Linked DNA regions of Rattus norvegicus. The protein of the gene in region 2 purifies or fractionates together with the protein of the main gene of each other region. This does not show direct contact. Links are inferred from orthologs where the notes say so. Each region holds a gene or a part of one and is shown on either strand. Other genes may lie near its edges.

Region 1 (7,413 bases), on a different chromosome or scaffold from region 2:
TTATTATATATAAGTACACTGTAGTTGTATTCAGACACACCAGAAGATGGCATCGGATCCCATTACAGATGGTTGTGAGCTACCATGTGGTTGCTGGGAATTGAACTCAGGACCTCTGGAAGAGCAGTCGGGGCTCTTAACCACTGAGCCATCTCTCCAGCCCAAATAAATGTGTCTGCGACCCAGTTCTTTTTTTTTTTTTTTTTTTTTTTCTTTTCTTTTTTTCGGAGCTGGGGACCGAACCCAGGGCCTTGCGCTCACTAGGCAAGCGCTCTACCGCTGAGCTAAATCCCCAACCCTTACAATTTCTTAAATCTCCCTTATACCCTACTAAATTCTCATATCTGCTCTGAACTCAATCTGATTGCTGTATCAACATATGCGTTTTCCTGTGGTAGAAACTTTGGATATCTAGAATGCAAAGGTAAATCCTTTCCCTTCCTATAGGACAGCAGTTCTCAGCATGGGGCTCTCAACCCCTTTGGCAAACCTCTGTCTCCAGAAATACTTAAATTATGATTCATTACAGTAGCATTAGTTATGAAGTAACAATGAAATAATTTTACGGTTGGAGTCACCACAACATGAGGAACTGTATATCAAAGGGAGGTTGAGAACTTCTTCCTTAGGAGCTCAGTCTAGATAAAATTAGACCACTAATCCTAGCTACCTGGGAGTCTCAGACAGGGTTGCAGTTTGAGTACCTAGATCAAAAAAGGGAGCAGGGTCTGGATAGGGCCCAGTGGTATAGCACTTGCTTAGCACGCATAAGGCACACATGCCCAGCACTGCAGAAACAAATGACACTGTCAGAATGCAAGTAGAAACAAAGTTGCAACATATGTGGTGGTAAGTAAACAAAACACCCAACCTCTCCGGATAAGAACTGGAAGACAAAACCATAAATGCAAAGACGTTTTCACCTGTACGTGTAGGGCTAAACAGAAATCTTGAAGTAGACTTTCTACTTACTCATGACTTAATTCTATGTAGGTATATAAATGAGCGAAATGGCCTCATTTGGTTAAGAATTGCCATTGGCTGGGCTATGGTGGTGGCCTCCTTTAATCCCAGTACTTGGGAGGCAGAGGCAGGGAGATCTCTGAGTTTGAAGCCAGCCTGGTCTACATAGTTCCAGGACAGCCAGGGCAAATGTAGAGACTTTATCTCCTAAAAGCAAACAAACAAACAAACAAAAAAAAAAAACCCACAAAAAAAAAAAAAATAAAGCCTACTTGTGCGGCCCCAGGGAATCCTAGGTTGGAGGAAGATGTAACATTTTAAACTCTAGGCTACCACAAGGTCACCACCTCTTGATACAGCTGGTTGGAAGCTAACCCGGAACTGTGGTCCTGTCAGGTGGACTGGTGATCACCAGCCCAGACACACAGTGACAGAGTAAGCTCTTCTTTGCTTACCTTCCGCTGCTGTGGCCACCCCACCCCCTGCCTTAGCCTGGTCTGTCTGTCTGTCCTGTCCTCGGGCTCTGATCTGTATTATTCAGCAAACATTGTTTTTTCACCTCTTAGAATGCCCTTTCTTTTTTATCCTACTGGATACTGAGTTCTGCCCTGCAGGGTTCACAGAAGCCGTCCATCCTTCCACCGTATACTCTGCAGCCAGGCCTTCTGTGTTGATTTAACAAGGTTTTGCCCAGTGTCTCCAGTAAATAAGAACTCCATTTGTTCTACTTTTGTGCCTGCTGCAGGTTTTATGCAGGCATTTCAAGCTATAGCTTCAAATAAATAAATAAATAAATAAATAAATAGATAGATAGATAGATAGATAAATAAATAAATAAGAAAGATAATCTTACCTGTATGAATGTTTTGCCTCCATCTATGTATGTATCTGGTACCCGCAGAGGTCAGAAGATGGAATTGGAACTCCCTGGAAGTGGAGTTGTGGATATCAAGCAACCATGTGGGTGCTGAGAATTGAACTGTGGTCCTCTGCAAGAGCAACAGCACTAAACCACTGAGCCGTCTTTCCAGTCCTTCATCTTCAGCTCTTTATCTGCCTCCCTCCCAGTTAAATACGGAAGCAGGGACATCCTTCACTCCTCACCTGCATGTTTCCATAACAGACATGTAGTACTATAACCAAATATTATATCACATATTATTGTTAATATAGTGTTATAGTAATATTGTCATATTATTATACAGAAGCTGAGGTTTAGTCCAGCTTGAGGGCATGTGAATGTATTCCCATAGGCCAGTGGCTTGAGCCAAGGAATAGCACAAGCAGCCTTGGAAAAATAGACTGTCTCTAAAAAGGGGAAAGGGGCATGGGAAGGAAGCTAGAGAAGAAAGGGAAAGAAAAACAAAAAGAAACAAAGATCTCAAATCAGCCTATAAGCACAACGAAGATGGCAGCCAAGAGCTAGGCTCAACCAGCTTCCAGTAGAATATTAATTATCTACCCTCACCAGGGGCCTAAGATATTAAAAAAAAAAAAAAGCCTCAGGAAAAGTGTTGGGACAGTGATTGTGGGACTTTACGAGGCCTGCTTATGTTCAGTTTCACGCGATTTTGTTTCGTTTGTAAAAGGAATAGGTCCTCCAAGCTTTTGTATTTCACTCACCTTTCCTAACCTGTCTTGAACAGCCTCTGTTAAAGTCTTGGCGACAAGCTGAGGTGACCTCGGAAGCAGAACCTTGTCCCAGAGTGCTGCGAAACAGTGAAAAGATTGAGGCGGTTGGACTGGGCCATTCCTGAAGCTACAGGGGCATACTCATGGCATCGTCCTTAAAGATGAGTAGGAAAAGGAAAATGAAGGTGATTGTCCTCCTTTCTTCCTCCCTTCTCTTTCTCGTCTGTTTTCTGGCCCTCCCACATGAGTCCCACCGGCTGATTTACGAAGGGAATCCTGTAGGATAGGAAAAGAAGAAAAGCCACTGGTGGCAATTACGGTAACTCGGTGGCTTATGCAAATGAATAGTTGACGTATAATTTGCGTGTTGGTATACTTTTGGAAGTACATAAAATATCAGTACCTCCGCATCCCTCCACTGATCCTGCCCACGCTACTTCCCTCTCGGCTTCCTTAGTAAAGCCTGCCTCTTAGGTCCGCCCTCAAACACTGGGCCCTCCTTCCCCCATAGGCTCCTCCTCCCTGTCCCCACCCCCGCTCATTCCCTAGCTTCCAAAAGCTCTTCCCCGCCCCCTTTTCCTTTCTGAACAGGCATGACTCGGGCAGCTCACCCGACTCAGATTACTATGGCATCGGTAGTGTCCTGACAGTTCGGAAAGCAGGAAAGCAAGCGCCGAGAAGAAAGGCTCGGGCCCAGCGGACTCTTACATCGCAACCCATCAAGGAATTGTTATTTTGGGTCCTGCAAGTGGGGTCCGGTCCAACTTGAGGTAGCGTGAAGGCCCCTTCAGGCGGCGCCGCGGGCAGCCCCGCAGCCGGGGCCTGGTGCAGCCGCCGCGGCCGCTGTCAGGGAAGCGCAGGCGGCCAATGGAACCCGGGAGCGGCCGCTGCTGCTGAGGCGGCGGTGTCGGCAGTCCGACCCCGACCGCCTGCACCCCCTCCGCGAGGGTCCCCCGGAGGTAAGCGGCTCCTCCCCCATGAGTCGCCTTTGCCTGTGGGGGGTCCTTCTGCCACCCTGTCCCGCCCAGCCTTCCGCGACCTGGGATCGACTACAAAACTGCCCCCCTGGTGGCAGCTGCACCCTGAGGTCCTTCACCCTTTCCTCTCGGGCGCGGGGTCGTCTCCTCTGCTTTCTGGCTTCCTCTTCAGTTTAGCCCCTCCCTCTGCCCCGCGGATTCCACCTCCCACCCAGCACCACACACACTTCTTACCTCTGTTGCCTCTGTTCCTTAACTATTTTTCCAAGTCGTGAACCTTTTCCACATTAGACCCCTTCTACAATATCTATCCATGTTTGCCCTTCCTCGTCGTTTGTTTCTGCTCACAAGACTTTTCCATGGACTCCGCCTTTATCCCTTTTCCTTTTTTGCCCCACTCTTCCGAGTCAGTGCAATCTCAGCACAGAGTTCTCATTTCCCTCAGCTAAAGATTGTATCCCTCTCTTCTGCTTCCGATTCCATTACCTCACCATAACCCACTCCCTCAGCTCCTGGCTTCCAAGAACTGTCTATTCCCTTCTCCTTAAAGGATCTCAGACTACTGTCATCGTACTCCGATACCATTTACTTTAACCTTAGTCCTCAACCCCTCTCCAGGGTGCCTGATGTTCTCTGAAGCTGTCTTTGGCTTCCCTTACCCTTTCTCAATCTCCAGTCCTCTGGAGGGCTTCCTGTAGGAGAAAGATCTGACGAGAACACCCCTACAGATAGTGATTTCCAACTTTTGACACCTCTCTCCAGAATTTTGCTGATGTTCGTCTCCCTCAGCTCTGTTTTCCCCGTGTTTTAAGTGTTCTCTATCACACCCTCTATCTCTGCACATGATTTCAGATCAGCTAAACCTTGAACTAAGAAAATCTGAGAGGAGGGGGAGCCTTAGCTGTCTCGGGCTTTTCTGGACAGATGTGTGTTTCTGAAGGGTGAAACAACTTTTAAAGAAGTCTCTATCAATCAGATTACATTTTGTTGAGTGTTTAAGAGCAACCTCAGGCCTGCATGGAAACTGAATGAAGTTATAAGAAATTTTGCTTTAGATTATTTATTTTGGGGTTTTGTTAGGTCACAGAATAGTATCTCCTACTCCTGTCTAGACCTAAAGGGAACCATTACTTTCCTGACTGAAGCTTAGTGGACTAGTGTTGGTTAGTTTCATAAGAATTTGGACCTAAGGTGAGGGTGTGTGTGTATGTGTGTATGTCTGTGTGTGTGTGTGTGTGTGTGTGTGTGTGTGTGTGTGTGTGTCTGTGTCTGTGTCTGTGTCTGTATCTGTTGGGGGCTGGGGGTAATTGGGAAAAGGAACCATAAGACAGTGTAAAGAGCTGTATATTCAGAGTCAAGGCCCCTTGGTTCTGCTTGTTACTTCCTCCCTTGAACTCTGGAATGGTCTTTTGAGAAAATGGTCCATTCCGCAAGCACCAGTGCTGTAATGGGCTAATTGGATGTCTGTTGGGGGAAGAACTGCAGTTTTGTAATTGATAAAAACTGCAGGCTCTCAGAGGAGAGGTATTTGTTGCTAGTGGTTTTGCCATGTTGAGAATCCCTTTACTTTGATATTTTGATCCCTCTGGTCTCTGACCATGAGTATAAAGTCAGTTTGAAGCACACGCTCTTGCTTGGCTGGCTACTTCTCAACCCTGTTTTCTTTCTTCCACCACATTAAGTTGTTGACCATTTGCACCTTTTTTTCTGTACCTGATCCATAACTCCAGATTCTATGGTCAGAAAATGTGTTTGTAGAAGACCCCTTTGAAAAGAACCTTGGACCATGCTGGGACGTAGCAGCGATGTACGTGCTGCGTTGTCTGCCACATCTGTCTTGGCCTGAGCTAGTGAAGAAGGCACAGGCACTTCATCCATCTCCAACTCTAGAAAATAGTAACGCCATCATGGCCCACCTCTCTTTACCCTGAACTTACTTGGAATGCAGTCTCCTAATGATCCCCACCTATGGGAGAAGCCCCCTGGTTTTCCTTGCTTCTCATCTGGGGCCACACTGTGTGAGAAGATGTTTGCTGAACACTAATACAGCAAACTGAGCTGCTTTGGTTTGAATAAGAGGTTTGGAAGGATCCTTTCAATAATTGGCACGGGACAAGAGAAGGCCTAATCTAAGCACATTTGGGACTCAAATAAGGACTAGTTCAGAGAACGGTGAGCAATGCAGGCTGCTGTCTTTACCACCTGTCAGCCTTATTGTGGGCTCCTGGAGCAGGCTTGGGCTGTCTGGTTGGAATCCTCTTATACCTGCTGCATGCCTTTGCACAGAGTTCTAAGCTTGATCAATATTGACCTAACTGCCATGAGACCACTGCCCTTCCCCCCAGTGCTGTAGTGGAGAATGCCCTCTTCCCTGATGCCACCATCGTTTGAGACCTTGAACAAGCATACTTGGTTCTTGGTGGGGCTTGAGCTTGCTAAACTGCTCAGTCCAGAGTTTCTACAGGGAAAAATGAAGAAGTCATTCTTCTTTACTATTAAGGTGGAAGGGAGCCATACGTCCTTGAAGCTTTGTGCTATACCTTAAGACATAGAAAGGAACTTGTTTTCTAAGAAAGATACTTACTTTGTGTGCATGACTGTTTTGCCTGCTGTACATCACATATGTGCCTGTTGCTTACAGAGGCTAGAAAAGGATGTCTGTTCCTCTGGAACTGGGGTTAAAGATGGTTGTGAGTACCATGTGGGTGCTGAGAATTGAACCCAAGTCCTCTGGAAGAGCAGGCAGTGGTCATAACCATTGAACTATCTCTCCAGCCCCAATAAGGAACTTCTTAACAGCAGAACAAGAAGCCTGGGATAGGACTAAAGTCCCTTTTGAAGAATGGCCTATTTTCTTAAAACTACTGCTAAAGGACTGCACGCACTTGGTATAGGGATTTATGATCAAACTAATAGTCCCCTCCCCCTTATCTGTGCTCACACTCCTCATATTGGAGCTCACCTCTTTAATTATCTCACTTCTATCTAAAGCTTAATTATCATACCTTCACTTAAATGCTTGTGACGATTTCTTGACCCTTTATTGAAGAAGAGGGTTTGATGTAGAGGATTCATACTTGTTTAGGTAATTATGACATTATTCTGTTCTTCAACCTAACACTTAATGAAGCTTTAGCTAATGTATCTGTGCCTTTCTTTTCCATTAGTTTGGAGCAGGGTTTGCTGGAGATTGAACCAGAGTGGTGCTCATGTTAGGTGACCCATCCACTACTGCACTAGGACCTTGGCACACTACACCCTTGGCCCTCTTTCCCATAAACTTTTGCTGGTTTTCCTTTACTACCCACCTCATACAGTAAGATATTGGCTCCTTTATCTTTTTCCACTTCCTGTGATCCATTTTAAAGGATTCCTGTGATTCCTTAAAAGGAAGGGAAATTGAGCTGACCTGCCTGCTTGGAAGAAGAGCTGTAGATCAGATGATGCTTAAAAGCCATTGTATGAAAATCTGAGAGCGTGTTAGGCCACCAGGATTTGTGTGAAGCAGTTCATATTTATCATGCGAGGAAAAAGACTGAAGAAGCAATAATGGTGATTAGGTAAGGGCATTATTTATGTGTCGGTACTGTCTTTCCTGAGAGGCCTGTCCAGTAAATCTTTTCATGAAGACCTTTTTCATGAAAATTCTGTGCAAACAGAATTTTTAAGGTGCTCTGAGGCAGAGAGCTTGGTTAAGAGGTAGTGTTCCCTGCAAAGACCTCTGTAGACATAACTGCTCAGGCCCATAAAACACATAGTGGTCACTTTCTCTGCCTTTCAGAAGCAGGTTCTGTACTACTGTAACCTGGGTCTACCCTGATACTTAGACTGTCTCTACTGT
Region 2 (7,349 bases):
CAAGGTAGGAAGTAATGCAAGGTTCTGCTTTCCTTGGAATCCAAGGTGATCATAGGTTTAAGTCATTGACTTTACAAGAAATGGGGAATCAGATAAGCTAGATAGATAGACACTCCTTGGGTGATTAACCTGCCTTTCGGGTCAAGAAAGAGTCTTTATCCAAAGCAAGAGAGACAAGACAAAAGGAAGGCAAAAATACCAGGCTTTCATCTTACTGTTATCCTGTGGGTCTAAGTGAGGAAAGTTGTGGTCTGATCCTCCTCTCCAACATAGCTGTAGTCATTTTACTCCATGCCTGCCAGCTTTTTCATACTGTTGCTGTAATATGCCTGCCAGTCATTGACACAGAGAAATAACTTGACTCAGAGCAGGGTCACGCTGATCATATCCCCTGTTATATTCTGTATGAGGTTTGTTAATCTTAAGAAATTCCAGATAGCTTTACAAGTTAAAGGTCAATATAAATGCTATGTCTAACATGGCTTGAGTCAGAGTTGACCATTGGGCAACATTTCCTGCACCAGCATTTGAGCTCAATGCATTCTTTTCCCCTTGTTTTTGCCCTGAGAACAGACTGGTAACACAATTAGGCACCTGATTCCTTTTTCTGTGGTCTTGAATGTTCAGTATTAGGGTGTGTGTTCAATAAGCCACCCCTTTCTGACTGAGATCCGTATTTGTGTGGTTTGTGAAGCAATTCTTAGACACCAACAAGGAACTAACACATTTTAATGAAAGGGTTTTGTTTGTTTTCTTTTTCTTTCTTTTTTAAAATTTCTCTTGTGGGTCATATATTTTTTCTTTTTTTCCTCTATTCTTCCTCCTCCTCCCCCCTCACCTCCCTCCTCCTTCCTCTCTCCTCCTCTCCCTCCTCATTGTTGTTCTGGAGCTAGCTTCATGGACCAGACTGGCCTCAAATTCAGAGATCCAGCTGCCTGCCTCTGCCTCTGCCTCCCAAGTGCACAATATGGATTATGCAACCATATAATGTGATTGTGTATGCATTTCAGGATTTATGTGTACCCCATGAATCCAGGACGCTAAGGCATCAGACACCCTGAAGCTGTAGTTACAGATGGTTGTAAGCCACCATTCTGGTGCTGGGAATCAAACCTGGGCCCTCTGTAAAAGCAGAAAGTGATCTTAATGGATGAGCTTTCCCTCTAGCCCCTTATTTTTGTTGTTTAATAAGGGCTTCAAACTCACGTGGTACAGGATGACCTTGAACTCCTGACTCTCCTAATGGCATGCGCCACCACACCCAGTTTTTGTGCATACTGAGCTAGAACTCTATCATTTGAGCCCCATTTTCAGCCCCAAAGCAGCTTCTAAACACCTGTTATAGTGCCAGTAATAACTTCCTCCCCCACTTCAGTGCTAGGGATTGAAATCAAGCCTTTGCATTCTAATTAATTTAGCTTCAGTCTTGAGAGAATGCTCAGTGGTTAAGATCATTGCTGCTCTAACAGAGGAACCAGGTTTGATTCCCAGCGCCTACATGGTGGCACAACTGTTTATAACTCGAGTCTCAAGGATCCAACATCATCTCTGACTTCTATGGGCACTGCAAACATATAGTGCACAGCATGCAATAGCGACCCTTCCTCACTCTCTCATCCTCCTACTCTCTGCCCTTTCTCCCTCTCTCCCCGTCCTCCTTGCCCCCTCTCTCCATGTGCTCCTGGCCCCCCAACCCCTGCCCCTCTTTCTGCCTTTTTTCTGTCTCTACTCCCTTTTCTCTCCCCCCCACCCCCCAGGTTCAGCTCTTTATTGGACATGTTAACAAAAGCAGTTTAGTCAAAAAGACCAAAGCTCGTGTCATCCTCGGACTCCTCAGATTCTTCCTTCTTTGCTTCTACTTTCTTCTCCTCAGCTGGGGCAGCAACGGTGGATGGAGCAGGACCACCAGCAGGCGCAGCTCCAGCTGCTGGAGCTGGCCCACCAGCCCCTACATTGCAGATGAGGCTCCCAATGTTGACATTGGCCAGAGCCTTTGCAAACAAGCCAGGCCAGAAAAGTTCAACATTGACACCAGCTGCTTTAATCAGGGCATTGATCTTATCCTCTGTGACCATCACCTCATCGTGCAAGATAAGGTCGGAGTAGATGCAGGTGAGCTCGGAGACAGAAGCCATGTTGTGGACTGCCCGCACGGAGCTAGTCGCTGGATGAAGTGAGGGCCTCACCACAATGCAGCCTTAGCTTCCTCAGAAGGACCGAGCACCTTGGCGGCAGCTGAGGAAAGGGGCTACTCCCTTTTCAACTTGAAGCTAGCCAGGGTAACATAAGTCCTTGTCTCAAAAAACAAAACAAAATATCAAGCCGGGTGGTGGTAGCAAGTGCCTCTAATCCCAGCACTTGGGAGGCTGAGATAGGCGGCTCTTTGTGAGTTCGAGGCCAGCCTGGTCTACAGAGCAAGTTCCGGACAGCCAGGGCTACATGGTGTGACCCTGTTACGAAAAAACAAGAAAGAAAAAAAGGGAAAAGAAAGCCAGACAGGTATGGTCTGAGCCATATCACCAATTCCAGTCTAGCTAGGGTTTCATAGTGAAAATCTGTCTTAGAAAATAAAAAAATATGAGTAATGGTGAAAGCAGAAAACAATAGAACTTTTTGAGAAGAACAAATGAAAAAAGCCTAGGAACCCCATTTGTTTTGGAGGTACTGGCATAAGCTTTAGGTTTAAACAAATAACTGGGGAAGTGCAACTCAGAGAAGGCACCCCAATCCACGTACATACACCCGGAAATGGTCATTTATGGGGCTAGACTAAGAGGCCAGAGGAAACCCACTGTTCTATGATGTCACCAGGACGTTAGAGTCCGTAACTTCACCTAGAGGTAGCTCGATACAGGTCCACTGGAAGGCCGAGTCTCAGTCCAGTCTCTCATTGGTTACATACTCTGTCAATCCGCTTCATTGTTCAAGTCTTCCGCCCCTCCTTTCTCCATCTGCTTTTGATAGGCTGCTGAATCTGTCACTTCGAAAAGGTCCGCATTCCTTCCGCCTTTCTCCAGGAGACCTAGGACTAGAAGGGTGGATCCCAGGACGATCCCACCCCCTGAGCTCGCCTCCTAAGTTTGATTGGCTTGTTCAGGTGCCTGTCACTACCGCTTTCACCGTTGACTGGCCACCAGACCGCCGCTCTGCGCGGCGCCGGTACCGCCCCCGTCGGGTGTTTGTGGTGGGGCTGCGGAGTCGCCGATCCCGCCGGAAGCGCCAGGACAATGGGGACCCGGGACGACGAGTACGATTACCTATTCAAAGGTGCGCCCGGTGGGGTACAAATAGGCAAGGTCGCAGTAGCGACTGGAGGGCCGAAGCCGTGATACAGGACCAGAGGGTTCAAGGTGGAGCCCGGGGCTTCAGCGGGGCCTATCCGGGGTAGGGAGTCTGAGGAAGCCGTGGCAAGTGGAGCTTGCTAGGTTTTGGGCCTTAGTGCGCAGCGGTGAGATGAGGGAGACTCGGAGAGGCCTATGGACCCCGGATGCGCCGGGGCGGGGCCGGGGCCTTGAGGGGGTGGGGCCCGAAGTGGTCGAAGAGGCCGTTGGGGCGGGGCGTCCTGAGGGGCGGGGCTTTCTTGGGTTTGGCGGGCGGACTACGTTGAAAGCGGGATTATAGGTGGTGGTAGGGCGATGGAGAAGGTTGTGGGCGTGCCCACTAAGCCTGATTGGTTTGAGCCTTCTAGGGCTGACTTGTTACAGGCGGGGCCTACCTTGGAGTGGAGGCTGGGTCATGAGGTGCAGTATCCCTAAATTGTGGTGCTTTGGAATTGGGTATATTGAGGCCTGTCTGTTCATCACTAGTTCAAACTCTTGGTAATTGACGGAAATGTGATTCAGTTAGTAGCATGCTTATCAGAAGCATGCTCAAAGCCCTGGGTTTTATCCCCAACACTGCATAAACATTGGTGATGGTGCAGACCTGTAGTCTCAACACTTGGGAGGCAGAGGTAGGAAGAGCAAAAGTGCAGAGGCCAGGCTGGATTACTGGAACCCTTTTTCAAAGAAAAAAAGAACATGGATGAGATCAAATGCAGTACTTGCACTATTCTGAGACTTTACAACAATGGTCCCTTTTAATCCTCTTTGAGTTTATACAGTCCACTTTGTCCAGGAAACAGGCCTATAGTGGTGCACACCTGGAATCCCAGTACTCAGAGTTGGGGGTAGGAGGATCTCTTTCCAGTTCAAAGCCAACCTGGGCTGGTGAGGGAGCTTAGGTATTGGTGTGCACTGCCAAGCCTGATGACCTGAGTTCAATCTTGGAGCCTCCATGGTGGACAAAAGTCAGCAAATTGTCTTCTGCCCTTCATATGAGCCCACATAGATAGATACACAGAAAAAAATAGTGTAATTTAGCAGAATGTGGTGGCACACACCTTTAATCCCAACACTCAGGAAGCAAGAGAGAGACAGAGATCTGTGAGTTCAAGGCAAACCTGGTACACATAAAGGGGCGAGACAGGAGTGGCAAGTCAACAGAATTTGGATGTTTTTGTTTTTGTTTTTTTAATTTTTTAAAAGCTAACTTATGTTACACAGCCATAGTCTGTCCTCAGAACAAAAGGGAAAAACTGAAGTTCAGAGAATCAGGTTCCTAAGGGTGGAGCAGGATTGAGCCCAGGACAGGTTTTGCCACTTAGAGTATAAGTTTAGGGACAAGGATTGCAGCTTAGATATGGAAAAGACAGGTATTATACCTCCCTTCAACACATACATATCTAACTCAGGAAGAGCTTCCCTACTTTGTAAGCTTCTGTCCGTGTCATTGGGGTTCCCCATTCTTCTGGTGAGCATATTTTAAGGATCTGGCATTGTGACACCTTCTATGCCAAGCTGGGCTTTTGGGTCCTAGACTCCCTGATTGACAGTGATGGATTTTGAGAGATAACTTCTGGATCCTCCAGGGACATACCTTTGCCCTCAGGGTTGTGGAGGTAGTTGGGATATCCTTGTGGCAAAAGGCTCATAAGACAGAGACAGAGACAGACTTCTGCAAAGATACGGGTACCACACAGCACTATGGGCTAGGCGTGGGCTATATCCAGGTGTGAGACTAATTACAGGTGTTAGAGTCCAGGTATCACTTCAGAGGCAGAGTATGATTTGGAAGGCTCTCTGGTGACAGAAAAGATTCAAGTCCTGCTGTGTCCGGGGCCTGTCCCCACTCAGACCACCCGGAGGAAGCTTCCAGGCAGGGCAGGGGGATCTTTTCCCTTCAAGTCATCACATCCAGGCATCTGTGGTCATTCCCTGCTTGTTTTCAGCCTTTTCACTGTTATAAATAGCCTGGCATTGAATGTGTGCCCGAGTCCTCTCTTTGCCCTGTGGGCTGTTTCCTTGATGTGCATTCCCAGAAGTGCAGTTACTAGGTCAGGGGCAATGGAACTCCATTGCCATTCCTGGTACTTGTCTCCAGAGCTCACTTCCTGGAAGCACCAATCAGCTCCTGCAGCAGCTGGCAACGGGGTTGGGGGGTTGGTATTGGTAGAAGGAGAGTAGCCACCTGCCCCCACTACCCTCTCCTACTGTCCTCCTTTCCTGGTCTGGCAGGTACCTTCTTCAGTAAGTCATAGTAGCTGCCTAACCCCCAAGGTGAACATTCTGCCAGTGCTCACCCTAGGTCTCCTCTCCATTCCTGGCATCTCACCTGAGCGTTAACATTTGTCCTTTTCATTCAGACTTTAAACCATTAAATTAGATAAAGGAGTGCTATGAAATAAAAAGGGAAGCCAGGCAGATTGTTATCACCAATCACATCATTTTGCCTGCATGTGGCGAATAATGTGAGTACACTGCACCTGCCAATCCCTTTTGAGACTCACAGCCTTTAGATGCTCCAGGTCAGCCATTATAACAATGGTGGTAACCTGGTCAGCCTTGGAGAGGCGTCTTAATTCAGTGGTAAGAAGATAAATTCAAGGCCAGCCTAAGCTACATAGCAAAACCTTGTCTCAAGAAAAAAAAATCTACGTTTGCACTACAAGTATTGACAGGCTGCTTTTGTCACTATGTGGCTCTCTTTGTCACCTGTAGGAACTCAGGAAGTGTAGTAGTCTGGAGCCCTACCTCACCCCCAAACCCCTGTGCTGGATCCACCACCTTTGCCTGTCCCTACTTCCTTATCCTAGGCTTTGGTCACATTTCTTTGACATGTAGGGCCACAAGCCTGTGCTTGCGACAGTGGCTGCTCATACACAAACACAGTTTTTGGCAGCCACATCACACTTTGGCTCCTTTGACCTTAAGGCTAAGGCCAAGAGGTCTCAAGAGTGGGTAGCCATATGCCGTTTGTTTTCCTCCATAAATAGTCTCTTCTGCCCCAGGAGTGAGGTTGTTTATTTGTACCTAATTATAGATCCTCACGTTTCTTCTCTCAACATTTTCTCCTGTCAGGCACTGGCCATTTTCCCAACCTGCTGGTGGATCCCTAGGGATAGCCGTAACTTCTCTGAGGAACACTTGAGTCAGGGTTACTGCACTGGAATCTCCTAAGCCCCATCCTTAGACTCTTTTTCCCAGCGTTCCCAGACATTAGTGCCCGCCCAGTCTTCAAGGACATAGGTCATGTGGGAAGCACAGGAACTCTGTTCTTTTGAGTTGTACCCACCCCTGCCCAAGAACAGAAATCACTAGACACCAGGGACAGGGCTAGCCCTAGAATTTATAACCCTCTGCCAAGTACACCAGACTAGGCAGTGTGTCTACCAGGCCTGCTGTGCTAGTGACTCTCACTAGCCTGAGAGATTAAGTCAATAATCCTCCCCTGTGCCAGGCCCAAGAATAGTTAGGGCCACTTCCTAGAGTACACCTTCCCGACATTGGGTCTCCAGGGGTTCCATCCTATCACAGGGCAGGCCAGAGCATCCAGGGCTCCTGAGAGGTGTCAGATCTTTGTGCCAACTGGCTCGACTGTTCAAGCAGCCAAATGGCATATCCAGAGGGACCTTTTCTATCCAGCAAAGTCGCCGACTTCTTTGGAAATGCTGGGGGTTTCCTGAAGGGCCCATATTTTCCCAAGACAATGTGATCACTTGTTTTCTTAACAATGCCATTTCATACCCATTCTACATGTAGAGACAGCCAGCCCAGTTGCCACTCTGGTGTATCAGGCATCCTGTGCTGGGGATGGCCTGAGCAGCCTAGCCTTCCTGCTGTTCACCTGGGCATGATCTACTGACTCTCAGCCAGCTCCATGCATTATTGTTCTAATGTGTAACCTTGGACTGGGGATTTGGACTCCGGGGTTGAGAATCCCTTACTGCAGAGGGATTGTTGACATTTGTGTCTGTCCCTGGGGTGGCCTTGAGAATTTACTAAGAGTAGGCCCATGAGGCATTTGGGCAT

What was found. Proteins that work in one complex are often made in the same cells at the same time.
Region 1: the proteins of Rab11b (region 2) and Pi4kb purify together in Homo sapiens (co-immunoprecipitation; 3 studies listed by BioGRID and IntAct, with this or other methods). This does not show direct contact. The link is inferred for Rattus norvegicus from reciprocal best matches to the Homo sapiens genes RAB11B and PI4KB.

Annotation. Positions count from the first base shown.
Region 1 is NC_086020.1:185,226,176-185,233,588, forward strand, and holds the start of Pi4kb (phosphatidylinositol 4-kinase beta), read left to right. Parts: upstream 1-3,216; 5' UTR 3,217-3,554; intron 3,555-6,940; exon of another isoform or gene 6,941-7,121; coding exon of another isoform or gene 7,122-7,132; intron 7,133-7,413. UniProt on the Homo sapiens protein: Phosphorylates phosphatidylinositol (PI) in the first committed step in the production of the second messenger inositol-1,4,5,-trisphosphate (PIP). May regulate Golgi disintegration/reorganization during mitosis, possibly via its phosphorylation.
Region 2 is NC_086025.1:15,232,583-15,239,931, reverse strand, and holds the start of Rab11b (ras-related protein Rab-11B), read left to right. Parts: upstream 1-3,177; 5' UTR 3,178-3,227; coding exon 3,228-3,267; intron 3,268-7,349. Other genes in the region: Rplp1l1 (large ribosomal subunit protein P1-like), read right to left, coding at 1,794-2,135. UniProt on the Homo sapiens protein: The small GTPases Rab are key regulators of intracellular membrane trafficking, from the formation of transport vesicles to their fusion with membranes.